Linked DNA regions of Canis lupus familiaris. The protein of the gene in region 1 interacts with the protein of each later gene in a biochemical or structural test. Links are inferred from orthologs where the notes say so. Each region holds a gene or a part of one and is shown in the gene's direction. Other genes may lie near its edges.

The links.
Region 2: of the proteins of KLHL12 (region 1) and SEC31A, one has a biochemical effect on the other in vitro, tested with the Homo sapiens proteins (3 studies listed by BioGRID, with this or other methods). The link is inferred for Canis lupus familiaris from reciprocal best matches to the Homo sapiens genes KLHL12 and SEC31A.
Region 3: the proteins of KLHL12 (region 1) and PDCD6 form a complex in vitro, tested with the Homo sapiens proteins (2 studies listed by BioGRID). The link is inferred for Canis lupus familiaris from reciprocal best matches to the Homo sapiens genes KLHL12 and PDCD6.
Region 4: the proteins of KLHL12 (region 1) and FBXL17 form a complex in vitro, tested with the Homo sapiens proteins (3 studies listed by BioGRID, with this or other methods). The link is inferred for Canis lupus familiaris from reciprocal best matches to the Homo sapiens genes KLHL12 and FBXL17.
Region 5: of the proteins of KLHL12 (region 1) and DRD4, one has a biochemical effect on the other in vitro, tested with the Homo sapiens proteins (2 studies listed by BioGRID, with this or other methods). The link is inferred for Canis lupus familiaris from reciprocal best matches to the Homo sapiens genes KLHL12 and DRD4.
Region 6: the proteins of KLHL12 (region 1) and LNPK form a complex in vitro, tested with the Homo sapiens proteins (2 studies listed by BioGRID, with this or other methods). The link is inferred for Canis lupus familiaris from reciprocal best matches to the Homo sapiens genes KLHL12 and LNPK.

What each region holds. Positions count from the first base shown.
Region 1 is NC_049228.1:389,002-393,912, forward strand, and holds part of KLHL12 (kelch-like protein 12), read left to right. Parts: intron 1-23; 5' UTR 24-62; coding exon 63-257; intron 258-4,328; coding exon 4,329-4,482; intron 4,483-4,911. UniProt on the Homo sapiens protein: Substrate-specific adapter of a BCR (BTB-CUL3-RBX1) E3 ubiquitin ligase complex that acts as a negative regulator of Wnt signaling pathway and ER-Golgi transport.
Region 2 is NC_049253.1:33,229,360-33,234,270, forward strand, and holds part of SEC31A (protein transport protein Sec31A), read left to right. Parts: intron 1-1,347; coding exon 1,348-1,386; intron 1,387-2,971; coding exon 2,972-3,030; intron 3,031-4,070; coding exon 4,071-4,334; intron 4,335-4,911. UniProt on the Homo sapiens protein: Component of the coat protein complex II (COPII) which promotes the formation of transport vesicles from the endoplasmic reticulum (ER).
Region 3 is NC_049255.1:12,069,354-12,074,884, reverse strand, and holds the start of PDCD6 (programmed cell death protein 6), read left to right. Parts: upstream 1-2,355; 5' UTR 2,356-2,557; coding exon 2,558-2,652; intron 2,653-3,818; coding exon 3,819-3,880; intron 3,881-5,531. UniProt on the Homo sapiens protein: Calcium sensor that plays a key role in processes such as endoplasmic reticulum (ER)-Golgi vesicular transport, endosomal biogenesis or membrane repair.
Region 4 is NC_049224.1:4,092,523-4,096,146, forward strand, and holds part of FBXL17 (F-box/LRR-repeat protein 17), read left to right. Parts: intron 1-1,943; coding exon 1,944-2,084; 3' UTR 2,085-3,624. UniProt on the Homo sapiens protein: Substrate-recognition component of the SCF(FBXL17) E3 ubiquitin ligase complex, a key component of a quality control pathway required to ensure functional dimerization of BTB domain-containing proteins (dimerization quality control, DQC).
Region 5 is NC_049239.1:26,078,853-26,084,496, forward strand, and holds DRD4 (D(4) dopamine receptor), read left to right. Parts: upstream 1-2,150; coding exon 2,151-2,417; intron 2,418-3,638; coding exon 3,639-3,751; intron 3,752-3,867; coding exon 3,868-4,580; intron 4,581-4,651; coding exon 4,652-4,854; downstream 4,855-5,644. UniProt on the Homo sapiens protein: Dopamine receptor responsible for neuronal signaling in the mesolimbic system of the brain, an area of the brain that regulates emotion and complex behavior.
Region 6 is NC_049257.1:20,133,341-20,138,748, reverse strand, and holds the start of LNPK (endoplasmic reticulum junction formation protein lunapark), read left to right. Parts: upstream 1-1,736; 5' UTR 1,737-1,828; exon of another isoform or gene 1,829-1,946; intron 1,947-2,004; 5' UTR 2,005-2,069; intron 2,070-2,256; exon of another isoform or gene 2,257-2,413; intron 2,414-5,408. UniProt on the Homo sapiens protein: Endoplasmic reticulum (ER)-shaping membrane protein that plays a role in determining ER morphology. Involved in the stabilization of nascent three-way ER tubular junctions within the ER network.

The sequences.
Region 1 (4,911 bases):
GTTTTTTCCTCTTGTACTTGCAGAATCCAAGGACCCCTTTCATTCTTTCTCCATATTGCTTGATGGGAGGCATTATGGCCCCCAAAGACATAATGACAAATACTCATGCTAAATCCATCCTCAATTCAATGAACTCTCTCCGGAAGAGCAATACCCTCTGCGATGTGACTTTGAGAGTAGAGCAGAAAGACTTCCCCGCACATCGAATTGTGCTAGCTGCCTGTAGTGATTACTTCTGCGCCATGTTCACTAGTGAGGTAAGTGGTAAGTTACCAGCTTGCAAATGGAACTCACACTTGTAACCTTATAGTTGTCTCATTTCACTGAATGAAATAGTAGAAATTTGATGTAGTAGTGAATTCCTATGGTATATGGTGGGTTAGTGGGCGGAGTCTGGTCCAAATCTGCCTTTTGACTGTGTCTTATTTTCCCCATCTCTAAGTCAAGGGTGATAGCAGTATGCGATCACACACGGTTATTGTGACAGTTCTTTGAGAAAACCACATCTGAAGTATTTAGAACAGTGTCTGGCATGTGGTAAAACACAAACGTCAGCTACTAGATTTTACTTATTTCTAAAAATTGTTTTGCTGTTTTTTTTTTTTCTCCTTCTAAAATCAAATATTTTTAAGTGAATACTAGGGGGATAAAGGGAAGGGGAGGAGAGAAGATGCAGTCCTCATCCAACTCCACCGAACAGTAGATGAAGAAAATCAACATTTGTTCTACCCATGTAGATTTCAGATGGGAGGAGGACTTAATGACTTCATGACTGTGTAGGCGTGTGAAGTACAACTTGGAAAAAGATGCTGACTATGGAGTATAAGCAGTTAAAGGGAATAAAGAAAAGGTTGACAAGATAAAAGGTTGTGCTTATAGGTATTAAAGACTGTGGGGTGTCTGGGTGGTGACTCTGTGGGTTAGGTGTCTGCCTTCTGCTCAGGTCTTGATTCTGGGCTCCTCCTCCACGGGGTCTCTGCTGCCCTCTCCTCCCCCCAGCACCCGAGTATTTGTGCTCCCTCCCTCCGTGTGTGTGTCTCAAATAAATAAATGAAGTCTTGAAAGGCTTTAGGGGCTCCCGAGTGGCTCAGTCAGTTAAGCATCCAGCTCTTGGTTCCGGCTCAGGTTGTGATCTCAGGATCCTGGGATTAAGCCCCTCCTCCCCTCTGGCTCCCCTTCAGCTCCCTACTCACCACGGAGTCTGAAGATTCTCTCCCTCTGCCCTGCTCCACAAATAAATAAATACATCTTTTTAAAAAAAGATTGGTTTAGTAATTGACAGAGCACTGTAGAGTGAGGCTGTTGAATATATTGTGAAGTACTGTTAGAAAGCCAAACAGCAGAGAACACTGCACTTTTCTATTTTTTCAAAATCTCAAGTCTGATTTTTAAATTTTAAGTCAATTATCTTGAATTTTTGTTAAAGATTTATTTTAGAGAGAGAGACCACACAAGAGCAGAGGGAGAGACAGAGGCAGAGGAAGAAGGGAAACAGACTGCTGAGCATGGAGCCCGTCACAGGGCTCGATCTCAGGACCCTGAGGTCATAACCTGAGCCCAAATCAAGAGTCAGGAGTTGGATGCTTAACCAACAAGGGTCCCTTGTCTTGAATTTTTTAAGCTTGAGTGAGAATACACCAGTGTGTATTATATCATGTACATATACTTATATATATGCCTAAAATATCACATTACGTTAATGTAATTTAAAAAAAAATTTTAAGAGAGCACACAAAAGTGGGGGGTGGTTAGGAAGGGTGGGTGGGGAGGGGACAGAGGGAAGGAGAGAGAGAATTTTAAGCAGGCTCCATGCCCAGCAGGGAGCCTGACACAAGGCTCAGTCTCTCAACCCTGAGATCTTGACCTGATCTGAAATCAAGAAGAGTCCAAGGCTTAACTGACTGAGCCACCCAGGAGCCTTTTTACAAATCTTGTTACAAATCTTGTTAACCACCAGTGTTTTCTTTAGTTAATCTCATCTCCTTAGTGAAGATGTTGCTGTTGGATCTGAATAGGAGAGGTGGTAACATAAAAATGACAATAACTTCTTTTTATGGGCCAGGTACTGTGTTAAGTGACTGCTGTATTTCTTTCATGCTAGGATTAGATGTTACCATTTCATTTTACAAAAGAAGAAACAAGGGCTCAGATATTAAATGACTTGCCTAAGGTCACATGGCTTATAAATGGTAGAGATGGGGTTTATTCCTAAATTTTCTGACTCTAAACCCAAACAATATATGCCATATTTGAAAAGCTACGAATATATGCCATATTGCTTCATACAAATCTTACTTGCCTTATAGAAATTTTGACTTCTTTGCTTCCTCAGCCTCTGATATGTGGATTTTTATATTCTATAATTTCAAAGAAAAAATAGTTTATGATGCTCTGAGCCAATGCTCGGTCACATGGCTGGTAGAAAAAAACATGGAAACCTGACAGATATTCCAGCTAATTCAGGCTAATTTTAAAATGCTCTTGTGTAATACATCATCACACATCCCTGTCCCATATTGTGCTCCAGAAGGAATATCTGCCCAAGAGCATCAGAAGGACTTGGCATTTAACTGGGTAAGGAAGGTTCTCTCAGCAGCTGCTGAGCATGAAGTACTAATGGATCAGGACTGCTGACTACTAATTATATGTTGTGCATACTGTTCTTTGTCAGCTTGAGGAAAATTAGTCTGTCTTTACTCTCTCTGCACGTTGAAATCTGGAGTTCTATAAAAGAATTCCTTTTTCTCATCAGTGATTATTTTATAGTCTTTCTTTAAAAACTGGTATTAGGCAAGAAAATACCAGATGGTTTTGTCTTTTATTTTTAGGAGCAGTTGATTTAAAGGAGAGGGTTCAGAGACCTGGGTCTTAGGCTCAATTCTCTTAGCTGAACTCTGTGAATCCTGGCAACCATTTAACTTCACTGGGTTGATCTTTAAAATAAAGTAGTTGAACTAGATGGTTTCATTGTTCCCCCCTAGTCCTGAAATGCTCCTCAAATGTGGTCCAACTGAAAGATCATTTGAGTGAAGCAAGAGGGACCTCTGAGTTTTATCTGTCTCTTACTAGTTAAGAGAGCTTGCTTAAGTCACGTAACTTCTTTGAACCTTAGGTCGTTTATGTCTTAAGTGTGAATAATATCAGAACTCTAAGTCCTTATCAGGTTGCCATGAGAATTGGGTGAAATGATAGTAAATAAGTAAATAAGATAGTAAATAACTCTCAGAAAAATTATAAAGCAGATGTAAATGTAAAATACTATAAATTGCTCTGAATTAATAGTGAAATATTTTCATATTTAAGTTATTTGAGAATGGTTTATTGAATAAGAAATTTCTGGAATAAATGTACTTACATATTTTTGTTTGTAAATATTTTTTATTATGTGCAATGCTAATAAAATTTTAGTTTTTCCAAAATAATATACTAGTGACATTTTTAATGTCAGGGATTGATTTTGTTAATGGCTTTGGTAGAGAACACTTTTTGATTATTATTTTGGGTTGATGGAGGAATCAAAGATGATAAAGACATTTAGTTCAGAATTAAAGTACACTGGAGTTTTGTAATTTGAATTTCTAATTAAGGTTAATATGTAATAAAATTTTCATAAGGTTATCGATTTTCAGATAGCTTCCTGTCCTATAAAACTGAAGATTTCCACCCTTATTCAAACAATTTTCTATGATTATCTGGCATCTTCGATATTCATAACTCCAAGAGTATATTCTAGACTAAACATGCCACTAACAATAGAGTCAATAGAGTCAATCCAATATTTTGAGAAAGTATCAAACAAGTTCCTTATATTTAGACAGTGTCACAGTAGAAGGGCCCCTTAAGATGAGCTGCATCTTCTGTCATTACCAAATGTAGTCTAAAGACAAATAGAACAATACTGAGTAGTTTTAGAGAGTCTGGAGCTGTAAGCCACAGGGTCCTCTACAAGCATGAAACTTTATTGAAATTTTGTGTTTTATCTTAAAAGCTCCTGGACACTGATAGTATTTCGTGGAACTTTTGCATTCTATTCTGTAAAAGCTCTAGGCTTGTTTTATTATGAAGGCAGCATTTTAAATTATTCACTGGCAAAATTGATATTCCACAGTGTCACCTCGTCGTGTGCTCTTGGGTTGCATACAGCTGCCCCCAGTTTGAAAAGCTACCAGATACATGGCATACTTGCTTTCTACAAATCCAACAAATTAGACCATAACTTATTAAAGCTGTGTATTCAATTAATGTCCCTTCAAGCTCTTAGATATGAGATTCGGCCTTTCTTTTGTGGGATCATAACCACCATTATTTCACACCCTTTGAATTTTCAGCTTTCAGAGAAGGGGAAACCTTATGTTGATATTCAAGGTTTAACTGCTTCTACCATGGAAATTCTGTTGGACTTCGTGTACACTGAAACAGTACATGTGACAGTGGAGAATGTACAAGAACTGCTCCCTGCAGCCTGTCTGCTCCAGCTGAAAGGTACGGATGCTAACATTGCTGACCTGCCAAGGCAGCCTTGGAGATGTTTAAAAATAACGATATGAACTTAATTATGGACGTTATGGAGACAGACTGTGGGTGCTCACGTTTACTGCCTGTGGCACAGAAGATCAGATTTCAGTCATAATATAAAAGAACGTCTCCACATACGAATATTTGGCTCTTTAGAAGAGAGCATTTACATCTTTTCCATTTTTTAAAAAATAGAAGAGGGAATGCTAACCACATTTTCTTACGTATATGTACACAAGAACTCTGCAAGGAAACACAGAAAACTGATACTATTCACGGCCTTCATGAAAGGGAACTAGAGGGCCAGGTGGGTAGGGAGGGTGGGGAGATTATTCACAGCAAACCCTTTTGTACTTTTAATTTTTGAATCATGTAAATTATCTATTGAAAATTTAA
Region 2 (4,911 bases), on another chromosome or scaffold:
TGCCTGAGGAGTTAGGTTGTAAAATTGTCACATAAGGCAAAAATGGAAAATCATTTATAAAAAATAGGAAGTCTTTGATCACTTCTTTCTTTAGGTAAGCCTTTTTTTTTTTTTTTTTTTTTTTTTTTTTTAGTTAAGCTTTTATGAAGAAGTTGGCTTGCATTAGGAGCCATATTTTATAGAAAACATCTGTTCAAAACTCCACACAGATTTCAAGCTAGGGATTACCTCTCCCACCTCACAATTTCTCTGAGGCATGTGCTGCTTGATAGAGCTCAAACTAAATTGGACTCTGTAATTAATTGCTGTATTCTTTTGGTTCCTCTATCCCTAGGGGAAGAGAGGTGAATTTCCGTAGTTATAGATATGTGAATATAATCTACCTCCACTGCATACTTTTGATTTGAGATTGGGCCTGGCCTGACCCTGATTATCTGACCATTTTGGCATTGCTGTGTTAGTTTTCAGCCTTTTTTCCTCTTGTCCACTGCCAGAAACTTCAGTTCTCCTAAGTGGTTTTTGGAAGACCTGTACTAAACAGTCTGCAAATCCATATATTCTTACAGAAAAGACCATATAAAATGGTTACATATTTACTGGCCTATTGTCATTTATCTTCATATTCATAGTTTGACATGAATTCCATAAAATTACAGTTTCATCAGGATGCGGCTGCCCCCAGTTGCCTCCCAAATCTGGCAGTAAAGTGGCACTACCTTGCTAAGATTGTCTGATATTCTTTTCTTTAATAAGTACAGTGCTGAAGTCTGGCAGGACAGTGTAGAAAGCCTCCCATCGTTATTTAAATCCCTACTAAAAGAGGGCTTTGCCCAGCAAAGCATTGGCATTACTTGGGAGCTACCTGGAACAATAGAATCTCAGGCCTTTCCCTATACCTGGTGAATTAGAATCTGCATTTTAACAAGATCCTCAGTTGATTTTGATTGACAGCTTTAAGTAGTACAAAATGCTCTCCACCACACACACACACCCCCAGTGGTATTATTGATCAAATAGTAGGGGGAAAAAAATCCATGCAGACAGGGAAATATTATTTTAAATAGGCAGGAACAAAATTTTTTCTTAAACAAGTACCACAGCAAGAGTGATGTTTAAGAGTTAATTGAGAGTTAATTGAATCTGACACAACCTAAATGAATTCAATTTACCCAAAAACTGATTATTTTCTTAGGTATTTTTTGTGACTTGATAAAAAGAAATTTTTTTTCCTTATAAAATTCATTTGTTCTTTTTCGGGTTGATGGAGAAGAAGCAATTACAAAATGAGGAGTTTAGAATGTTTTTGATGCTAGTACTGTTTAAATGACTTCTACATTTTGTCTACAGAAAATCAGTATATGCAAGACCAGGCACCTATGTTGGAAGGTGAATTGGTTATAAAATATGTCTTTGGAAATTATGCAATCATTGAATATAGTTAATGAATGGACATTCACAATAATGCATGTGAAACTCAAAGTTGATATTCTAAATCTGATCAATCATTTTTTAATTTGACTTCCTAATCAAATCAAATCTTAGAGCTGATTGATTTAACATGGTGACCTAGTAGATTCAAATCATTCAGATCTTCTATTTTATATGATCATAAAGACAATGACTATATCAAGATTGTCTTAAATAGGAGTAAGATTAGAAGGTGATGAGAGAGATTTGAATGATTTTCTGTGTATTACCAGAACCTTAAGAATTTAAGCAGATAGCAGCATATAGTTTAATATTTTGTGATTAGTTCTTGAGTGTTTTGAGGCTTATTTGGCTTTCTGTCTCCTAGTAAACTTGTAGAAAATTAATTCCATTTTTAATATCAAGACAAATGAAGGACGCCTGGCTGGCTCAGTCAGAACATGTGACTCTTGATCTCAGAGTCTTGAGTTTAAGCCACATGTTGGGTATTGAGATTACTAAAAAAATAAAATAAATTTCAAAAAAAGTAAGGCAAATGAGTGTATGGTGGTTAGAAGATACTGTTTTTTTAAAAAAATTTCTGTGGCATTATGTATGGATCACAGGTTTTTTGATCTGCTAAGCAATTTTGTTGTGATTTAATATCATGGATATCAATAAAACAAGTAAAAGGTAAAATACTGAAAGAATGTTTAATTTGTTGTAAGAAGAGTAATTTTTTGTCTTTAAACATACAAAAATCAATGAGATGTAAAATGATCACATTTTGATTTTAAAACTATCCTATTTCTGGCATGTTTTCTTTAAAGATACTGGCATTAAAGTACTTAATGAATGCTGCTACTGATGTCTGTTTTTCATTTTGAAATGAAGGTTTTGGGGGGTTTTTTAGGGGAAATTTACTAAAGTTGACTAAAGTTTAATTTTGTATTTGCTGCCAACCTGGAATTTGTTTTGTGGCATTAAAAAAGTCGTATCACAGATATTTAAGTACTTTCTATTGTATAAATTTCTAAGGCAAATATGATAAAAATTGCAGTGTAGTTGGGACTTTTTTTTAACAATGTTTCTACTATATGGATGATTTGCTTATATTGAATTGCTCCCTCGGGAAATAGGAAATTGTTACTTTTATTCTTTTCTGTATGTTGAATATAGCAAAAGCATTTTTTATTCTTTATTTTTTAGCAGACTCAAGTTATTTATTTTTTCTTTATTAGGAGAAAATTCCTAACTGATCTTGAAGGTTATACATCAATGTAGACTTTAATAAAGACTTCACTATCCCTAAATTTAGTACAGTTCTTTCACTTTAAATGAAATAATACCAAATTACCTTGCCTACTAATCCAAGGCCTGTAAATATTTGGAGGAATGAGTTTGAGAATCCAGGGCCACAGGGTGATCCCCAGAGCTCAGCTGGTAAAACTTTTGTGATAGTTATCTTTGGGGTTAAGGCAGAATTTTTAATGTAAGATGGATATAATTGAGTTTTCTTCTTTTCAGAATTCTAAAGGAAAATGCCCTTTATTATCTGTTATAGGTCCTCAGAATGGTTGGAATGATCCTCCAGCTTTGAACAGAGTACCCAAGAAGAAGAAGGTACTAGAAAAAGATGTCCATCCAGTTGCCTGCAGATGTTCTGTTGATCACATAGCCATCTGGAACACATCACTTTTTTCACTAATCCTTTTAAAAGCAAAGCTTACTGACTGAGAGGTTTAGAGTGTATTTTAGCTTGCATCTTCTCCATGAAGGGAAGGAAAGGAAAGAAAAAACCAAACAAAACAAAACAACCAATATGGTGGTGTGAATTTAACTCCCATTAGAAGACCAGATGTAAATTCCTGACAAGTCTCTTACAAAGAATAGGAAACAAAATTTTCCAATGATTTTTTTTTTCTCTTTGGGTTACTTTGGTCTTTGGTTTCCAGCAATAGTCATGAATTTGGTAATTATATTTTGGACTATTTTGTCTATCACATATAGTATGAGTGAAGAAATAATCTTGTAGCTGAACACTGTTTAAATGTCAGTAACTGTTGAGAGCTGATGGACACAAGAAAAGATTAAGATTCTTCTTTCCTCAAACATTTCTACTTTTCTTTTTTCTTTTTTTACTTCTGGCAGTCTTTCCTTAAATATAGTAATGAGAGGTCATAACAATAAAATTGGGAGGCACTAAATGAACAAAAATCCCTAAAATTTAGGTTCGTGATAATCAGAAGTTTAATCTGCTACTTTTAATATGATTGAATTGACAGGTAATATCAACTTAGTGATCTAGGAAAAGGGGTATTACATCCTGATCACATTAAATACAAACATACATTTGGCATATCTGATTTCACTATTGCTAGATATAATTCTCTAGACTTTGACATCCTCTTTCAAAACAGCATGTTTTGGCTCTCCATATGAGAAGAAGTGTGGAAGACAAAGAGGAAACTGAGAAGTCCAGTTTTTGAGCTCTCCACCCCTCTTAGCCAGATCGCCTCTGCTTTTAGGTTTACTCTAGAATTGCATAAAAGTTCATTTGAAAAAAGTATTCTATTTTTTAAAAAACTTTTAAACCTTATTTAAAGGTGAGGAAATAATTCTTTTTCTTATACTTAGTGTCTTTTATTTCTGTCTTTTAAAAGATGCCTGAAAACTTTATGCCTCCTGTTCCCATCACATCACCAATCATGAACCCTTTGGGTGATCCCCAGTCACAGATGCTGCCGCAACAGCCTTCAGCTCCCGTACCTCTGTCGAGCCAAGCTTCGTTTCCACAGCCACATCTTGCAGGTGGCCAGACATTCCATGGCATACAGCAACCCCTTGGTCAACCAGGCATGCCATCATCTTTCTCCAAGCCCAATATTGAAGGTGCCCCAGGGGCTCCTATTGGAAATACCATACAGGTAACAGTGAATCTGCGAAGGTGGAATGTAGAGATGGCTCTATTTAGTTCTTTTTTTTTTTAATGTGTTAACTTCCTTTATTAATGAACATCTAAATTTGGTTTCAATTAAGACAACCTAAATAAAAAATAGTAACCCTTCTTTTAAGATTGATCATGCATGGGTATTATTTTTCACTTACATGGCCATAAACTTTGGCTCATATATTTGCTTATGTATGTTCACACTAACTTGACAGTTGCAGTATTTCATTTGACCTAATCAGGAGCCACAATTTAAGATCAATTGAATTCCGTATTTTCAGCCAAGCTTGCTAAACAGAAGCTATTTTCAAAGGTATTTCCCTTTAAAATATAAAATAAAAATGTAATGAGTTGTATTTTTTCTTGTGTAAGAGCTGGTAATATACAGCCTATCTTCAGGTGGAGCTATAAATTTGTACCTGCTTTTCACAGATAAGCAACTAGTCAGCTGGCAGGGTTCTAGACAATGAAAAATCACATATAACTGATTTAGACATATAAAGATAAACATTTTGATTTGTTCATGAAAAGTGAAGAGCTTGGGTCAAAGTTAA
Region 3 (5,531 bases), on another chromosome or scaffold:
GCAGTCGGATTGTTGCAGAAAGTTCTGTTCACCAACAGCAGTATACACAGTCACTAGTGTATTAAACAGCACCTATGATAAATTGGCCACTACCTAATATAAAACCTGAGTTAAATAAAAAGTGGTCAGTCATTCTCTTTCATACTGAATTCTGACAATATTGGTTGGAAAGGAGGCGGAGGCCTGGGCACAGCTGGCTCCATCCCCTAGAATTCTGCACCAGAGTCTGTAAAAGGGAAGTGACAGAGAAGGTCTCTAGCGTGTAAATGTCACAGTACAAGTCATTGGTGGTCTTGATGAGAAAATAAGGCACAAATGACAACTCAATGTGCCTTCAGAGGGAAAGCTGTTAGGGTGGATACATACAAAGTGTGTGTGTGTGCGTGCGCCCATGCACACATTCACACACACAAAAGAATGGACATATAACTTACTTGGTCATCCCATTTGTTTAACATTTGAGAGTTCACTATATGCCAAAGACATACGATGAACAAGAGGGTAGACTATGAAGTGTTAGGAATGCTAGCACCCAGAAATAGCCAATGTTTAAAAAGTTCTAAGGGTAATAAAAGGCATTTTCCAACTGGCCCAACATTAGATACATTATGTGCTAACGTTAATGGGAGGAAGAGAGCAGTGTTGTCTTTCAGTTTATTTCTCTCCTCTCCCATCCAGGAGCACCATCTACTTGGAAAGCTTAGAACAGACCTGGTTAAGAGGGAACTGAATCCCAAGATAGGCGAGGGGATAGTGGCAAGTACATTAATACTTTAAGTGATTGAGTCTGTAGAACTAGGCAGGGGCTAGGCTGCATCTTTCTGCTGGCGAGGAGACGGTCTCCCCTGTGGCTGCGCATCTCTGCCATGAGGCCACAGGACTCCAGGCAACACCGTCCCCACCAATGGCAGCAATTCACTGAGAGGACCCCAAGGCTTAGGCCTGCCCTAGCAGTATGGCCCAGGTGCTGTGCCCCACCCGACCTGTTCCATGCAGACAGTTGGAGCCAGTGGCTCATTAGAAATCAGGGCTGAGGGATCCCTGGGTGGCGCAGCGGTTTAGTGCCTGCCTTTGGCCCAGGGCACGATCCTGGAGACCCGGGGATCGAATCCCACGTCGGGCTCCCAGTGCATGGAGCCTGCTTCTCCCTCTGCCTGTGTTTCTGCCCCTCTCTCTCTCTCTGATGACTATCATAAATAAATAAAAATTTATAAAAAAAAAATGAATGTTTAGGAAAAAAAAAAGAAATCAGGGCTGAGGTGAAGGGAGGGACTGCACCAGCCAGTGTCTCTGAAGACGCCTTCTAGAATCATCTGTACCTTAGTGAGTTACATTGTTGGGGGGCAGGGCAGGATTGTCTTTAAGCCTTCGTTTCCTACTACTTAATCTCCCTTTTAAGAGTCAGCCTTGCCCCACAGGATGACTCCGGGAAGCACACGGAGGCCTGGGCTACAGCTCCTTGCCTGTTGACCAGGCCCACCATGGTTTTCTGGTCAGGAATTTGTGTACTTTGCAGCTGATGGCCGTGAGGTGCTGGCCTGAGGACCCCACGAAGTCCCTGAGTCACGAGGGTGCGGTGTGACCCTGTGGGCCCCGCTGGCCACGGGAAAGGAGTGTGGCTTGGCCTTCCAGGGCAGACAGCACACAGCGACACCCGTGACCCGGCCCCGCCCGCCGGGTGGTGTCTTGGAAGTCTCCCCGCGAAGTGCGCGGCAGAATCCTAGCTATCAATTTTGTGCAGTTAGGAGCCCGAGATGGGACACAGACCACAGATGGACTTCAGAAGCTGTGGAAAATTCCAGAAAACATTGCTCAGCGAGTACTTTGTGAGGAGAAACGTAGAAACCATGTGAATTTGCTAAGGCGTGGGAAAACTTCCTGTGGAGGGGGCGGGGGGCGGGGGGTACTTCAGGCGAAGCCAGCGTCACGGGCGATCGCGGGAGGTCGCGGAAGGCCGTGGTACATCAGGGGAGATCCCAGGTCACCGGAGATCCTAGGAGGTCATGGAAGATCACGGGAGCTCCAGGAGATCCCGGAAGGTCACGGGAGATCCCCGTTCCCTCGAGGAATCTGGCGGAGAGAGCCGGGAAGCCGCGGAGCGCTCCTCGGGGCCTCGGCGGGGGCGGGGGCGGGGGCGGGGGCGGGCCGGCCCTGAGGCCCAGCAGGGCCCACCCCCGACGCCGGCAGGGGCGAGGTGCGGGTGACACCGCCCGCCGACGCACGGGGACGCAGAAACACTCCGGAAAAGTGTCTCGTCCCCCTCGGTCACACTCGGTCCCGGGACGTCGTGTGCAAGAATGAAACACGGTCGAGGGGAGCCCCTTCCGCGCGTCCTGTCGGTGCCCCTGCCGGCCGAGCGGCCTCCGCACCAGGGTCCGCGGCCCCGGGCGTCGCCTAGCAACCGGGCCGCCAGGGGCTAGGCTGCGCGGGCGACACCGCCTTCCGGCGTCCCCGGAAGTGGCGTCAGCGCCAGGCCCCGCCCCAGCAGAGGCGGAAGTGGAGCCGCCCGGGTCTCCAGCGTTCCCGGGAGCTCGGCCCAGCGTTGCCGCCTGGGCCCATGGCCGCCTACTCCTACCGCCCGGGGCCCGGGGCTGGCCCGGCCGGGGGCGCGGCGCTGCCGGACCAGAGCTTCTTGTGGAACGTTTTCCAGAGGTGAGGCCCGGCGCCACCCGGGCGCTTACCAGGTTCACCGGCCTCCCCCGGCCTGCTTCCTGGTTTCCTTCCTGGCCTCCCGCCGGCCTCCCTCCTGGCCTCCCTCCTGGCCTCCTTCCTGGCCTACCCCCGGTCTCCTCTGGGCCTCCTCCCTGGCTTCCCTCCGGCCTCCCTCCTGGCCTCCTTCCTGGCCTCCCACCAGCCTTCCCTGGCTTCCCACTGGCTTTCCTCCGGCCTCCCCTGGGCCTCCCCTGGGCTTCCTTCCTGGCTTCCCTCTGGCCTCCTCCCCCGCCCAGCTTCCTTCCAGTTGCCCTCTGGCTTCCCCTCCCCTCCTCTTTCCTGATTCCCTCCAGTCTGTCTGCTCTGGCCTCCTTCCTGGCTCCATTGGGCCTCCCCACTGCCTCCTTCCTGTTTCACTTAGTCTTCCCATCACCCTGGCCTCCTGCCTGGCTCCCTTAGGCCTCTCCCGGGCCTTCTGCACCCCCCCACCCTGCTGCCGCCCTGGGGCTCACCCGTCGCTCTGGGGTGGGGGGGGGCGTCCAGGTGCAGAGCCCCGCCCCCAGATGCCCTGAGGTGCCGCCTACACGCCTACACACACGTCCCCAACAGCCAAGAGCCTGCGGGCTGAGGAGCTTGCTGCTCCTGGAGGTCTCCCGGATGCTTGTTTAGGGTAAACAGAAACACAGGCTGCTTCAATGCTGTTAAGCTGCCTCGGCTGCGAAGGAAGCTGGTACTTGTATCCTGGGTCGTCCTTCCAAGTGAATGAGTGACCGGGACCTGAATGGCCCACAGCCAGGAAAGGACTTGTCTGAGGCAGTGTTTCTGCGGTTTGTGGAAAGGAGAGGAACTGGTGCAGGTGGAATTCAGGCTGGCCAAAGGGAAGCAAAGCAGAAAGGCTTGAGAAGGTGTAAGAGAGAAGAAGTGGTTCAGTGTCTCTGGGGAGAACCGACTTGGACTTTGGCTGGTGGAGCACTTAGGATGAGAGCAGGGGCTCATGCATCTCCTTATTCCCAGCAGAATTTGGGAGACACCCTGGCTGAGTGCAGTGGAAGGGCCATGGGAAGGAGGCCACCAGAGTGAATATAGAATTGACGCAAGAGGTCCACGTGTGTGCTTGCTGTGTTTTGCTTGTCCTGCACTTTTAATCACCGGTCTTGATTTTGTAGGGTTGATAAAGACAGGAGCGGGGTGATATCAGACAACGAGCTTCAGCAAGCACTCTCCAACGGTGAGTAGGACCTGAACTTTGAATCTGACCCATCTTGTTGTAAACAATTTCTTTTTCCAAGTACAGAGGACTTACTAAGGCCTAACTCTTCTTGCTGGCACGTGGTGGAGGTGCTTCTGATTTATTTTGCCAAGTGACGTCCTGCTCCAAGGGTCTTGCTGAGTTCTTGAGAAATGGGGGTTGCAGGGAGGCTTTAGGGAAGGATAGGAAGTGTAGATGCACTTTGAGGTACATTGAAGATCGCTGAGTTTCTCAGGTAGCTGCATCTCTCCAACCTCTCTGGAGAGGATCACAAGGTGCCGGGGCAGCACGGGGAAGTGACTGGGATGTTGGAGGGCTGGCGCTGGCAGCTGGATTGTGGGAAGGTGGTTTTATCGGTGGAGGAATACTAGGCGCTCAGACCGGGATACAGTGTCCTGGCTCTTGTGGTGGTGTGTTGGAGGCTCTCGGTGGAGTCCGGTTCTTGCCGCTTCCAGCATGATTAATCCGTGGAAGTACTGTTTGAGACCCTTTACTTCAGTGAACACCTGGCTATGTATTCTTGTAAAAATCCCTCAGATGCCACTGTCTTCTCTGATTCTTAAGATTTGTAGCTTCTCTTTCCAGAGGTGTGTCATTGAAGGTTTTAAGGGGATTGATTCTAAGACGTTGAGAGACCTACTGTTATTAGTGGGAGGCAGTTTAAAGAATGGTACATATCACTGACTTTTTCCAGCGTTTAACGCGTGGGCCGCGGACATGTATGTATGTTGCTGTGTTCAGGAAACCAAGAAAACTCTTTACTTCAGCTTTGATGACTATGCCTTCTTGTTTCTTCTCTTACTATCATCTTTTCATTTTTTGTGTCTCCAAGGGCTTGAGTTTCACTTGGAGGAGTAGAAGACTGGGTTACTAGAAAGATGTCAAAACAAGCTGGAATCCAGCAGGCTACGTTAGCAGATCTGGCTTAAAACGTTCTAAGTGTTGGGGTGCCTGGGTGGCTGAATCCGTTAAATGTCCGAATTCTGATTTCGGCTGAGGTCACAATCTCAAGCTCGTGAGATCAAGCCCCGTGTCCGACTCCATGCTGGGGTGGAACCTGTCTGGGATTCCCCCGCCCCCTTGCACTGGCCCACTCTCACCCTCTCTCACTCTCTCAAAAAAACAAAACAAAAAAACCCCTTTCTGATTATTGACCAAAACAGATGTCTTCACAGTCATTTGTGAAAGAGTCTAGCCACTACAGTGAGAGTGCTCTCAGGGGTCATTCCTTTTGCGTTCTTTTCCAGTAAGTGAGGACTGACCCAGGACCCATTTGGACATCTTTTTGTCTGTTTGCTTGAAGTTTCGAGAGTGCCATCCAGGTTTGGATTTGTGTGAAACCCCTCAGGGAATGATGGTCACACTCTGCCCTCATTAGCATGATGGTGTCCCTGCAGAGGGCTCCTGCTTAGATTCAAATCCTGGCCCCAGAAGTTCTAGGAATGTGACCTTGGGTAAGGACTTGACCTTTCTGGGTGTGTAGATGGAGGAAATGCGTGCAGAGCGCTTGGTACAGTGCCAGGCACGCAGCAGGGTTCAGTGTTGCCGGCTGAGGGTACAGTAGTAGTATTGTTCCTGGCCAGGGAGCCAGCTCAGGGGATGGTGATGATGATGACAGTTGCCACTGACT
Region 4 (3,624 bases), on another chromosome or scaffold:
ATGGCTTTGCTTTGCATTGAGTTCCTGTTTTTTATTTGGTATTTGGTATTTATCATTCATTCACTAATCGCTAGGCCTAACTTATGGATACAAAAATGATTTTGGCTTTGGGAGCCAGACATGGAATGAAGCAATTATAAACTAACTTTCTAGGTGCTATGAAGACCAAGGGGGCAATGTTGAAGGAATAAATGACCTGAAAAAAATAAAATAAATAAAATAAATGACCTGGAAGCCTTACCTAGATTGGGGGGAGGGGGAGCAGGGATAAGGCAGTGATCAAAGTTTCCCGGGGAAATGACATGGAAGCTAAGAACTCAAGAGTGACTAGGAAGTAGGCATAAAGAAAGGGTTTTTAGGAGAAAGTGGATTAAGAAGTATTCCAGGTAAAGAGAATAGCATGTGCAAAGACCCTGAGGCCAGAAGAAACTTGGACAACTTGATAAACTGAAATGAAGTCAGGTGACTGGAGTATCAAAAAACATGCTAGAACGACTGGCAGGGCTAGTTGGTGCGTGACCTTCTAAGTATATTGTTGTAAGCTGCCTCAACTCAAGACTTAGAGCATACATTTAAATTAAAAATAAAAAATAAAAACGCTGCTTAAAAATCATCTTAGGGCCATCAATTCATATTCTCAACTCTAATTTATCAGTTTTTCCTTTTTATTTAAAATTATCTTCTTCTTGTTTTTGAAAACAGCGTTATACATCATATCTGTATCACAAAAACTGATTACCTACATGGTTTGGTTGAAATTGGAATGAAGGTTGATTTAAATATAAGCAAGTCTTGAAGAGAGAGGTGTGCCCACGGATTACCATCAATGCAATGCTGGAATATCAATTCTCATTTTTTAAAAAAGATATTATATATAACATAGTTTTCCAAATCACCCAGAGAACATCATGTCGTTTCAGAAAAGTGCAGATGATGGAATGTCATGGTCATCATCCTTCTTTAACAGGCTTTCAAAGCAAACAGCAAGGGTTTGATGTTGTTTTGGGTTTTTCCTGGCGGCCCTGATCCTTTTCAATAATGGACAGACATGGAGAGGGAGGGAGCACGGAACTGTGTATCATAAGCACCTCCTTTCAGATCAGCTTACTCAGTATAAATGAAATATTGATGTATCTGAAAATGCCCAAGTGTTCAATAAAGATTTTAAATAAAGCTACCTAAAAGTTGTGGTTCTTAGGTTAATCATTTATTTATCTAAAGGATGAAGGAAGCTGTCTGCTTCTGTGATATGAACTGCAATCAGCTTAAAAATAATTGACAAATTAATCCCTTCACAGCACAGCAATTGTAAAGGTGTTAGTTTTAATTAGGCCTGTCTGATTGCCTTGTCTAATCAAGAATCAAGGTGGTATCTTTGATGGTTAAGGTCTATCGGGGCCATCCCTGACCTGCCAGCCACGTATGTTTTAATTATTGATTCCTCACATTTCAGCCCTTTTCACAAAGGGACTTGGAGTTTGCAATACCTTAACATTTAAAGGGAAGAAAAATAAACATTTTCCCCAGCACTCCTAGCTGGAATCCCATGGATCTTCTCTCCCAATCCAGAGTTTTGTCCTTAAAAAAGCTGTCGGGTTGACGATGAAGGCAGAGGCACCTAAGAATGGTGCCTTACTGCCGCCTCCCCTCCCGCACCCCGGCTCTCCCACGGCACCGTGAAGGTCTCCACGAGTCCCTATCGCTCACGCTTCTAGAAAACACGTTCGGTTCCTTGATAGCGTATGTCTTTTTTAAGCATCCCTCCGGGTGAGTGCAGTGCCGAGGCATCGGGAGGGCAGACAGCAAGGACACGTGTCGTGTCGTGTCATGGATGCTGCCTGGCTCTGCCGCGAAGGAAGGGGCGAGGGCTCCTCCCCGGAGTCCAGGGGCGGCTGCCAGGCTCGGTGGGCCTGTGCTTGACGGCGGCTCTTCTGTGCTTGCAGGTCAACGAAGTGACGGTGGAGCAGCTGGTGCAGCAGTACCCCCACATCACCTTCAGCACCGTGCTGCAGGACTGCAAGAGGACCTTGGAGAGGGCCTATCAGATGGGCTGGACCCCCAACATGTCTGCAGCCTCCTCCTAACGCTCCTGCTCCCGGGGGGGGGGGGGTGGTGGGAGATCTGGGGGGCCGAGCCCTTGGAAAGATTTTCCCTGTTCCACGTCTACGGGTGTACCCCAGTGTATATGTGTGTCTTGTTCGCATACCGCATAGCATAAGCGCAATTGCTGTTTGTTCCCAGGTGAGCTGGGTTGGGGTGGTTTTTTGGGTTATTTTGTTTTTTCCTTAAAAATTAAAGATTTTTGAAAGCCACAGACCCTTTGGTTTTTAAACTCAAAGGCTTGTTTCTCTAAAGAAAAAAAATTTTTTTATTTACTGTAAAACCAAAAACCGTGGGCCCTAGTATGTTGATCTTCTAATTGCCGCCTCTTGAAGATGCCCCGAAATGAAGGCATCCATCGGCCTTCTCTTCCGATGGAATAGAATTATGCACTGCTCCTGATGGTGACCAGGCCAGAAGGGATGTTGCACCAATTAGAAACCAGGAAACCAGGCCTTTGCAACATTTCAGGGGCCTACACACGTATAGGTCCTCACACACACACACCCTAACATGCCAGTACCTGTGCCGCATGAGCACAAACGCCAGGGCACTTTCTTTCTAGATCGTTCTCTGACGGAGGGGCCTTCTCCAGGCCACTGAGGAAGCTCGGCACCCAACCCGGGATATGCACAGGTGGCTAACTTGCTGTCTGCAAGTGAGGGAGGGCCTCGAGAACATAAAGCCTTCTGAGAAGTTTTTATATGGAGGCAACGATCTGAGCTCCCCTGGCCAGCTCACACAAGTTAATTATCCATTATTCTGCAAATTTGTTCTGTAGAGTCCTGAATATTTTCGTTAAGGTTTATGTTAATGTTGTATTCGCTCTTGTTTCATGGATTGCAACTGGTCCGGATATATTTTAATGATATTTGGAGCTACCCTTAAGCGTTATCCACATTCAAAGCACCAGTGTAATACTAGTGTGCGGTTATTTAAAAAAAACAAAACAATACCTACAGATCATTTAATTATTTTTGTTGATTTTGGTAATTATGAAAGTTTATTTCTAAGATTTGGAGGTAGTCACATTATTAGAAGATTAATGAGTGAGATATAAGTAGACAATCTTCCTATTGATTTATCTTTCTTTTTTTTTTTTGCTTTGCTTTGGGCTTTAGAACAGGTTTTTTGGATATATGCATGTTAATTTTGAATAGTTCTTGTGCTACTACAGAGATCTATTGCTGGTTAATGTATGAGTTAAGACGAAAAATTAGAAAATCTTTTCATTAAGATTTGTGTTTACACTTGTCGGAAATAAGCATTTCTTTGTTTCAAGATTGCCAGCTTTCAGTTAAGACAATATCTATCAGTAAATGAATATATGTTTTGATTTCACACATCTTTACAATTAATTCATAGTAGGGACTCAGGCTCAAGTAAACTTTCCTGTGTCTCGATTTATAATCAAGACAGCAGGGGAGCCTTTTTAAGCTAAAGAGTGATTATCTTTCACAGTAGAGCTAGATACAAAACCCTGCCCTGTGAGTTTGCTATTTATTCTTCCCCAATGTGGACATA
Region 5 (5,644 bases), on another chromosome or scaffold:
CAACCGACTGGGCCGCCCAGGGATCCCGGAAATGACGTTTCTCCGAAGAACCATTTACCGCCTCTAGAATCCCGAACTCCTAGGCTGCGCGGCCCGTAGGCTGGAGACGATGGACGCGATGTGAGACCTCAGAGGGAGATACGTGCTCACAGATGGGGGGCTCGGTGTCCCCGGGTGTCACTTTGCCCTAAACTCGTTGCACAGATTCAGCGCGATCCAAGTCACATGCCCAGCAGGCGGGTCGTGCCGGAGTCAGGGGCTCCGGGCCAGGCTCACAGACAAGGCACGAGGGCGACCAGGACAGTCCTGTGGGAAGGAGGCTCGGGCCCCAGAGCCTGAGTTCCCACTGGCCGCGAGGCTGCAGGAGTCACGGCTGCGGGTCACTCTGCAAGGACTGACGTTAGACGTGTGGCTCACGGAACACAGGCAAGGGTTAAAAAAAAAGAGCCCCACACAAAGACGATCCAGTGATTTTTGGGGGCAGAAACTGAAAAGTGAGCCAACGGAGACACAGTCTTTTCAACAAACAGTGCTCAGGCGACTGGCCCGCCGGGCAGGGAACGGAAAGCGCCCCGACTCACAGCTTGGGGGGAGGGGGTCGGATCCGCTGTCAAGGAGGAAGTGACAAGGTCCCAGCTGGGAGAAGGCATTTTCACATCACATATGTGACTCCTTCCATCTTAGTACATGGAGGTGAGTCGCCGTGAGTTGTGTTGCCATTTCCCCGATGACAGGGTGTCGAGCTGTCCCTCCCTGCTTACTGGCCCCTGGAGCCCTCCGTCTACTAATGTGCCTCTGCAGGACCTTTGCCTTCGTTAAAAACTGGACTGTCTTTTCTTGATGACTTGATGGAGCTCTTTGTATATTGTGGACCTGCATCCTTTGTCAGAGGTCTACACTGCACACATCCCATCCCGGTCCACACTGCCCGTTCCCGCTTAGTGGTGGCCGACATCTGGGGACAGAGAGGAAACTGCAAGCGGGTCAGAGGCTAGGCTACAGTCACTGCTTGGCATGTAACCCAAGGTCAGGGCACCAGCCCTGCCTTGGGTCTGTCCTGCGAGGGTACCATCCCCTCCCCTGTCCCGCACCGGTCTGCATCACAGGGAAGGAGGCGTTGGATGCACCTCGGAGCTAGATGCCCCTGGACACGCACCTGTCCTGCATCAGACCCGAGGGACTTTGCCCCTTGTGACCCTCATTATGGTATTTTGGGGTCAGAATCCTTGTTTTCTCTTTAAGATTTTATTTATTTATTTGAGAGGGAGCCTTGGGCGCAGAGGGCGATCTCCCGAGAGCACTTGCTTCCATATGCACCCCGGCGGCTCACCGGGGGGTGGCCGGTGTCCCCTGCTGTCTCTGAAGGCTCCTGGGGTCCTGGCAACAGCTCTGCGCTCCCCCCGCCCGCGGCCCCGCTGCCCCCTAGTGCCCAGAGCACGGGGCTACATGCGCGGCGGGTGGGCCCCGACGGGGACAGGCTCCCGCGCCCCGGAGCCACCGAGGCCATGAGGACGCGCTGTCGCAACCGGCTGGAGCGCAGCGTGAGCCCGCGCCGCGGACGGCCACCCCGGCACCTGCCCCACCCGGCCGCGCTGCGCCGCCGCGACGCTGGCCCGGAGCTTCCGCTGCGCCCAGGCCTGCGCGGGGCCCGGGTGTGTGGGCAGGTGGGCGCAGCCCGCTTCGGCTGCCCTCGGGGAGCGGCGACTCGGGGTGCGCGGGGCGGGGCGGGGCTCCCAGAGCGGGCCCCGCGCGCCCTCCTCCGTCTCGCCCAAGGCCCTGCAGTGAGTCGCGGGCGCGGGGGGCCCTGCGGGGTCGGGGCGGCGGAGGGCAGCCCGCCTGGGGCGCACGGGCGAGGCGGGCGGACGCTCAGGCACTGGCGCTGGGGCGCGGGGAGGGCTCCCTCCGGAGGCGTCTCCTGGGCCGCCCCTGAGAAGCGGACGCGCGGCGGGACGGCGTGGACCCGAGCCCGGCCGGGCACCGCCCCCCCCGCGCCCCCCGCGCCCCCGCGCCGCCCCTTCCACCTGCGCGGGGCCCGCGAACTCCCGGACCGGCCGGGGTAGGGGGGGGGCGGGGCGCCCGGGGCGGGGCGGGGGGCGGGGCCAGGGCGCCGTCCCGGGGCTGCGCGCCCGCCTGGCCGCGGGGCGGGGGCCATGGGGAACCGCAGCGCCGGGGACGCCGACGGGCTGCTGGCGGGGCGCGGGCCGGGCGCGGGGACCCCGGGGACCCCGGGCGCGGCGGCGGCGCTGGCGGGGGGCGTGCTGCTCATCGGCGCCGTGCTCGCGGGGAACGCGCTGGTGTGCGCGAGCGTGGCGGCCGAGCGCGCCCTGCAGACGCCCACCAACTACTTCATCGTGAGCCTGGCGGCCGCCGACCTACTCCTCGCCCTGCTCGTGCTGCCCCTGTTCGTCTACTCCGAGGTGAGCCCGCCCCGCGCCCGCCCCGCGCCCCACCCGCGCCCCCTCTCCTTGCCCTGTTCGGCGGCTCCTACCAACGACACGTCCTCGTCCTCCAAGCCGCGCGCTCAGAAACGGGCGACACCGCCAGTCGGGCCGCCCCCCTGCACCGGCGGGGGTTCCATTCCCCGGGGAGCCAGGTGGACGCGCAGACTCGGTCGAGCCACCCCCCGCCCCGGCTGTCCCGGGGGCACAGGGACACACATCACTGCACAAAGCACAGCCAAGCGTGAGCAGGAGCGCGCAGGCGGCCGGGCCCCCGGGAAGCCCACGCGACACGCACTGTGCCCACAGCAGGAGGGGCACGCGGCCCCAGGAGCCGGGGGCAGGGAGCAGGGCGCCCCCCGCGCCTCACAGTGGACCCCAAAGGACGGGGTGGCGTCCCACCCCCGCCGGGAGCCGGGCCCGAAGCCCTGGTGGGACCCCCGCCGCCGGCCCTGCTGCGCTGCTGCCCATTGGGCGGAAGAGCTGCTCAGGGCCGGGAGCGCGCTGGCCAGGCGCTGCGGGAGGGGCTCAGCGCCCTGGGGGGACGCGGCGAGGCGGGCGCCGCCGGGTCACTAGCAGGACAAGGACATGCAGGGCCTGCCCCTCCCCCGAGCCCCGCCGGACGTCACAGCGACGGCCCTTAAGCTCCTAATCGTCCCAAATCAGCGGCAGGGGATTTAGAGGGGGCGGTTGTCTGCTCGTTGCTCTTGGTGGGGGCGCTGGGCACGTGTGTGGCTATGCACCCCCTCACTCATTTATCCTCAGGGCGGTTTTGTGGGTGCTATGGTCACCCTCATTTTACAGATGAGGGCACAAAAGTGAGGACCCGTCGAGTCCGAGCGCAGGGACAGGGCTTAACCAGATAGGCTGACTCTCGCCACCCCGCGGGGGGCACGCGGCGGGGCTCAAGTCCCCGGGCAGGAGGACCGCAGCCCGTGGAGGGGGGGCCGCCTCCAGCACAGCATCACACTGGGGTCCTCCACCGCCTGCACCCCCGCTCCAGGGGCCCTCCCAGGGGGACGGAGGGGCTCTGCTCAGCGCGGTGGCAATGCGGCCAGGCGGGACCCCGGGCCCATTCCGGCCCCCCGGGAAGCTGGGCGTCAGAGCGCGGCCCGGGTCGCGGCGAGCGCTCCTGGGCTGGGGGGCGGCCGCCTGGTCTCGTGCGTGTCGTGCCCCCACCCCGGGCCCCTTGCGGCGCAGGTCCAGGGCGGCGTGTGGCTGTTCAGCCCCGGCCTCTGCGACGCGCTCATGGCGATGGACGTGATGCTGTGCACCGCCTCCATCTTCAACCTGTGCGCCATCAGCGTGGACAGGTGAGCCGCCCCGCGTCGGCCCCGCCCCCCGCCAGGCCCCGCCTCGCGACCCGCCCTCGCCCCGCCCCTCGCCAGGCCCCGCCCCGCGGCCCGCCGCCCTCACTGCGCCCCCGCAGGTTCGTGGCGGTGGCCGTGCCGCTGAGTTACAACCGCCAGGGCGGGGGCGGCCGCCAGCTGCTGCTCATCGGCGCCACGTGGCTGCTGTCGGCGGCGGTGGCGGCGCCCGTGCTGTGCGGCCTCAACGACGCGCGCGGCCGCGACCCCGCCGTGTGCCGCCTGGAGGACCGCGACTACGTGGTCTACTCGTCCGTGTGCTCCTTCTTCCTGCCCTGCCCGCTCATGCTGCTGCTCTACTGGGCCACGTTCCGGGGCCTGCGGCGCTGGGAGGCCGCGCGTCGGGCCAAGCTGCACGGCCGGACACCGCGCAGACCCAGCGGCCCCGGCCCGCCGCCCCCCGACGGCAGCCCCGACGGCACCCCCGGCCCGCCGCCCCCCGACGGCAGCCCCGACGGCACCTCGGACGGCACCCCCGGCCCACCGCCCCCCGACGGCAGCCCCGACGGCACCCCCGGCCCGCCGCCCCCCGACGGCAGCCCTGATGACAACCCCCGCCCGCCGCCCCCTGACAGCAGCCCTGGCCCGCCGCCCCCCGAGGTCACCCCCGATGACACCCCCGACGCCACACCCCGCCCCCTGCCCCCCGCCGCCGACGCCGCCGCGCCCCCCCCCGCCGACCCTGCAGAGCCCCCGCGGCAGCCACGCAAGCGGAGACGCGCCAAGATCACCGGCCGGGAGCGCAAGGCTATGAGGGTGCTGCCCGTGGTGGTCGGTGGGTGCCTGCCCGGGCGGGGGCGGCGGGGGGGGGTGGCCGCGGGACCCGCTCACCGCCCCGCCCCCCAGGCGCCTTCCTGCTGTGCTGGACGCCCTTCTTTGTGGTGCACATCACCCGGGCGCTGTGCCCCGCCTGCCCCGTGCCCCCGCGGCTGGTCAGCGCCGTCACCTGGCTGGGCTACGTCAACAGCGCCCTCAACCCGCTCATCTACACCGTGTTCAACGCCGAGTTCCGTGCCGTCTTCCGCAAGGCCCTTCGCCTCTGCTGCTGAGCGGGGCCCCCGCCCCCCGTCCCCCGCCCCCCACGCCCTCCGCAAGGCCTGGCCAGGCCTGGCCAGGCCTGGGGGGCAGTGTCTCGGCGCCGAGGGGGCGGCTCTGTGCGGCTGATTGAACCAGGTCCTTCCTCAACACCTGCTGGAAGGCTGGGCCTGGGGCGGCCTGGGAGTTCCGGGGGGAACCCAGACCCCCCTTGGGCCCCTCATCCTCCTGCGGAAGCCCAGGGAACAGACCCCGGGAGGCTGGTTCCTTCCCCAGGGTGAGGTGGGGGACTGCCCCAGGCCCTTCGGCCCTCCCACGGAGAAGCTTCCAGAAGCATGCTGGCCGTCCCTGAGAAGGCCAGGACTCAGCTGGAGGGGCTGCCCACAGGCTGGCTGGTGGTGACAGCCAGGACACACCGTGGCTTCCCCACGCCGGTGCTCCTCCCACAGTGGGGCGGGGACACCTGTCCGGTGGGCTCAAGGTAGTGTCCTGGCGCTGCCCCTTCCCTGGGAGGACAGGCTGCACCCGGCTCAGCGCAGCTCCCGCCAGCTTTCCTCTGGCCGTGTGGAAGGAGCAAGGACATGGGGCCGCGGGGCTGGGTGGGTCTATCCAGGCAGCCTCCCCCGGGGGGGAGGGGGCAGCAGGCTGCCCCTGGGTAGGAGGGGGCGGTGGCAGCCCCTTCAGCCGATCGCTGTCTGTGCTTCCAGGAGGTTCTCTCCTGAACACGAGCAATTGTGGGCCGAGGGGCCCCAGCTCATAACAGCGGCACTGCCTCCCCACCCCTGGAGGTGCTCAGGGCTCCGG
Region 6 (5,408 bases), on another chromosome or scaffold:
AGATTTCTCTCACCTTTCTGACCAGGTCAGTGAATGACCCTATTGTAAGCTCTCATAGCAACTATTTCTTGCAGCTTTCATTTATTCCTTTGAATAAATGTGGGTTTACTTATTTGTTGAATTAGACCTTTTAGCATTCCTTTGACTAGTTTATTTCCTTTGTCATCTTCTCTGGTGCTTTTCTGATTTCACTTCCTTAGAATCTATCACAGGAGAAATTTAGGATTAGTAGGCAATAATTCTTCAATATTTGGACTCGGCTAAAGCACCACCTTCACTGGCTTTCCCATACCCCTTCTGGCTGCTGTTGCCTTATCCTTCTCCAATCTCTTGAACACTTGCCTTTATCATGGTTATTTACCCTATTATTTTTGTGTGTTTTCTTGAAGGTTTCTCTCACTAGTGTCAGTTACTTTAGGACAGCTGTTTTATTTATCTGTATGTGTACATAGGGTCTTGTCCTCGAGAAATATTTGGTCTTCTCTTACTGTGCCTGACAAACTCTTACCAGGTAGTGGTACAGTGTTACCTTCAGCAATATACGTAATATTTCTAATCAATTTCCTCATTTCTAAAATGATACTTACCTTAAGAAGTTGTTTGGTAAAAAAAAAAAAAAAAAAAAAAAAAAAAAAAAAGAAGTTGTTTGGTTAAAAGAGTTAGTGATTCCATACATCTCACCCTCCAAGTGTCTCCTCTTCCAGAGTAATTATCTATGGAATTTTGTCTCAGGATCAGGTTTTTGGGATGCCTGGCACCTGGCTAGTTCTTGTCTTCTCCCTCCTGTTTTTTTTCCCCTTTACAACAGACCTTGATGGCCCAGTTAAAACTAGAGAACAAAATCAGTAGCAACTGGTAAACATTTCTTTCCTGTTCTCTTAGGAAAATATATTCCTGAGGTGAGGAGATATGTTTTGCATTAACTTCACAGGCCTTTTAAAAATATATACTTCGAAAGAGCAAAGGATGAAAAATGAAATGGTTAAATTTCTGTAATCAAAATAGATGAAATGTTTCTATTCATATTTTCTTCGATAGATTTTTTTTTTTTAAACAAGGCCAAGGGGATTCACAGGGAATTCTGGGATACAGAATTTCAATCTATAAAACTCTTCTATTTTCTACTAGACCCAGAGTGCACAAGTAAACTCTGGTTCCCTTGCCTTCGTCCTTTCAAGCTTACACAGCTGTAACGAAAGATTCTAACAGTGAGGACGATCTCACCTCACAGCGAATCACCTGGTAGCTTCCGGTACCCTATGCTCGGCTTCGTCAAAGTTTCCATGTAGCGCCTTAAAGCAATGACAGACACTCACGGATGCATTATTTTAAAACTCGGATGTAACTAAACAGAATAGAAAAATATCCCGTGAAAAATGTTTGCACAAGCAAGTCACGGAGGTAAGCCACTACCAAAGCTTTTGCTTGCTTTTCACCCCTTCTGCACGGTTACCTCACACGGGTTCACGTTATCTCTGGCTATTTAGACTGGTCACGTGCAGTGGACTAGGAAACGCTTTCAAATCTGAGGTGAACGCAGCCCGTGTGTGTGTGTGTGGGGTCATCCGTGGGCCCGGAGATCAGGACCTGGGAAGGGCGTATTCGCGAGGTGAGAGTTTTAAGAGAGAAAACTCGGCCTCTGTGACCTCCACGGGTTTGAGAACAACATCCTCCGGCGTGTGAAGCTCACCCCCCACGGGTGAGGTCAGCGTCCTGTCATCAAAATGACCCTTTTTGACGTTCAGCAGTGACGAAGGCCTCCGGCACTCAGTCTGCTGGATTTTCTCCACGGGCTCGTGTGGGGAGCGGGCCTTGGCTGCGCTGTGAGGTAGGGTTAAGTTCCTCCGCTGCCGGCCGCGGGAGGCTGACCCTGGGGCTCTTCAGGGCCGAGTCCTTTCCAGACGCAGCCATCTGCACCCTCAACCCCACCCGTCCCTCTCGCGGCGACCTAGCACCCCCCCTCCCCCCCCCCCAAGGGTCAATTTCGGGGTTTTCTTTCTCCAGTGAGAGTTGGCAGAACAGGCTTCAAAAGAACGAGAGGAGGCCGAGGAAAAGAAGTAGCCGTGCCGGTAAGCCTCCCAATCAATGGCAGTCCCGCCCCGCCCCGCCCCGAGATGCGACGACGAGCCCCCTACCGAGCCGCGGAAGCCCCAGGGCCGGCGTCCTCCGCCAACCGCCCGAGCGGCCCGCCCCAACTGCCCGCCCCCGGCGCAGTCACGTGACCGGGGAGCGGCGCGCGCCGGCCGTGGCGCTGATTGGCCGGCGGCGGGAGCGCGGGGTTTGATGGGAAGGAGTTGGCCGGGCCCACCGCTCTGTCAGTGGCGGCTGCCGCCTGCTGCGGAGACGGGCTGCGCGGTGGCGCCGAAGCTGGCAGACGTGGACGCAAGCGCCGGGCTTTGCCCGCTTCCTGCAGGTAAACCGTCGGAGTGAGGGCGGCAGGGAGGGCTCGGCGGAGGGGAAGCGCGCTGAGCCTTCCGCTGGGGCACGGGCTCCCGGGTTCCCCGCCCGCCTCTGCCCGGCGCGCCCGCCCCGGTGCCTGGTGGCCTAGGAGCTCCGCGGAGGTGGCGGGTCCCGGGCTCGCGCCGCGCCGCGCGCCGAGCAGCCTCGCCTCCTGCTGCCTCTGATTTCCCAGGGCCAGGGGCGACCCTGGAGTAACCGGGAGCCCGTTCGGCCACCTCCCCCCTCCACCCCCCGCGTGTCCTCGGGGAGTCCGGGGTGGGGAGGTGGCCGGGTGGAGCAGAGCATCGGCTCTTCGGCCGGCCCGTGTCAAGGCGGGGGGTCAGGAGGTTCGACGCTGAGCTGTCGCTGAGTGTTGTGTGTCCGTCTCTTTTTTTGCCCCCCCTCCGAGTTGTGCGGAGGCGCCACGAATTGGACAGATCGGGAGGACCGAAAACTGTCAGTGTCATGCTGGTCGGCCCAGGCATGTGGGCGTGGATTACGTGCTGCTTGCAGGAGCCTCTCCACCGACGTTGTCCTTGTTTGAGGGAAGGTGGGCGGTGTAAGGGGTGGAGGGAGCGAGGTTGCCGGGGTGACCGAGGCTCGGCCCGGGGGGGAAGAGCAGATCTGAACTGTTATCAATAGTTTTAATTCTTCGGCGTGCCTGGCTTGGCTCTCGGTTTGGAGGAGCCGTGCGACTCTTGGCCTGGGGGTTGTGAGTTCTGGCTGCATTGGATATGGAGATGACTTAAAAGGAAAATAAAAATCTTAAAAAAAAATTAGTTTGATTTTTTAATATTGTGTATGGAGATTGAGAAAGTTGGGATCACTGAACTCAGTTTTGCTGATGGTGCCCTCATGGTAATAAAACTGGTGACTCACTGAGTTTTTTCCATGTTCCGCCTTTTCCCAGTTGGCTTCTGGTTTATGTCAATTGTTTTCTATCTCTCTGGCCTGCGTGTCACCATCAACCTAAGTGACCCTGTTCAGCAGCAGCGTGTGGCAGGCGAGCAAGCTTGGCTTCAGGCATAGGTTCGGACTGGCAGGGAGTGCTCATCCCTTGTTCTCAGCAGCCCCCGTGGTTCCATTTTTGGAGGAAGTTGATCTTAAACACGTTTTTAAAAACAAAAGTGGTGCATTTAAAATCAGAATTTTTTAAAAAAAGATTTTATTTATTTATTCATAGACACACACACACACACAGATAAAATTAGAATTTTGTTTCTGTCACCTAAAATCCGCCCAACACTCTTTATAAGCTTAGTGTTTATATATTATTAACTTGACAAATAATATAAGCAGTTATAGAGCTATCCGCAAGGTATGATTTAATATAGAGATCTTTCTACCGAAATAGTCATTTCTTGGTAGTGTTTAGTTCAGATTGAACATCAGCTTACCATGAAGATCAGCTTTAGCATATAATAAAAGTGCTTTTAGAGGTGTACTTCTTTTCAGTAATTTTATTTTTGAGCAATAAATGTGGTGGTTTGGGATATTTCAAAATTGCCTTTTTGGCTAGAATATTTGAAAGAATTCTGGAGCAAAATCACTTTTAATTTTAAATTGAAGAGTACATTATAGAGCCTCTAAAAGGCCTGCAAGAACATTTTAATGGAAGAGTCTGAAGAATATTTTGTTTTTATTTTTTAATACTAGAGCAAATGAGGGCAATACAATTTCAGTTAAAATACAAATTGTAATTTATTTTTCCAAATTTAAAATTATGAAAATGGGTACTTTCTGAGAAGTTAGGTGTATGAGTAGTATTGTCTGCACTACATGTGCTTTCTGATAATAGTAATAATAATAATGGCTATAATTTATTATGTGCTCACTACTTGTTGGACACTGTGCCAAGTAATATATAATTTCATTTAGTTCATACAGCAGTTCTGTGAAGTGTTAAGTTTTTTCACCACTACATAAATGTGGAAACTGAGGTTAGAGAGTTTAATTTACCCAAGATCACATTGCTGGTATGCAGCAGAGGCATATTTTGATCCAGACCTTTTTTGACTCCATTATTCTATTTTTTTAAAAAGTTTTTATTTTAGAGAGAGAGAGTGGGGTGGAGGAGTGGGTTAGGAGCAGAGGAAGACAGAATCTTAAGCAGACTCCATACTGAGTGGCCCCACAGGGGCTTGATCTCATAACACTGAGATCATGACCTAGCTAAACCAAGAGTCAGATACTCAACTGACTGCACCACTCAGTGCCCCTCTATTATTTTAGTATGACTTGAAATGAGCTGAAAATTTAAGAACGACATGACCCAAGATTTTAAATTCTGACCCCCAAACCTGTGTGTGAATATCAGTCAATAGGAAACATTGAAATAATGTGGTGGGCATTATTATTTATTGAAAACACGGTAGATGCATCCAGCTCTTAAGGTCATGTCAGGTCCCGTTGTAATATCAGAGTGGAAAGACTGTACACATTCATGGAAGAGCTCTTGGGGACAAGCCACTTGAGATTGAGCAATCTGTCCACTCAAGGGCATACACTGATTTATGCTTCAGAGAGAAATGCTAGTTATTTGCTTCCCATATATTTTGCGTGTGTTAGAAGAGATGGACTAGGAAATGGCAATGACCACAGCAGTAAAAACAGTTTGTATTGAGAAATTAGTTATGTGTGGGGCACTGCTGAATTATCTCATTTAAGGCTTTCAACATTTAGAAGGTCCTTAACTATCCCTCTTTTGAAGATGAAGATAATGAATAACTGAGAGGTTAAGTAACTTATTTGCCCAAGGTTTCATAGTAAGTAATGGGCCACAGGAATTGGAGTTGAGATGTTTGTGTCAAGGAGGGTAAAAGTGTTTGAACATAGAAGAGGTATGAAATTAAAGCTATGTAGAAAAGTTGATTAATTTTGTTATGCTTTCATATCTCTTGGAAAGTACTACCATTACATGAGTATTAATAGCAAATCAGTTTCTTTGAACAAATACTGGAATTTGGAAT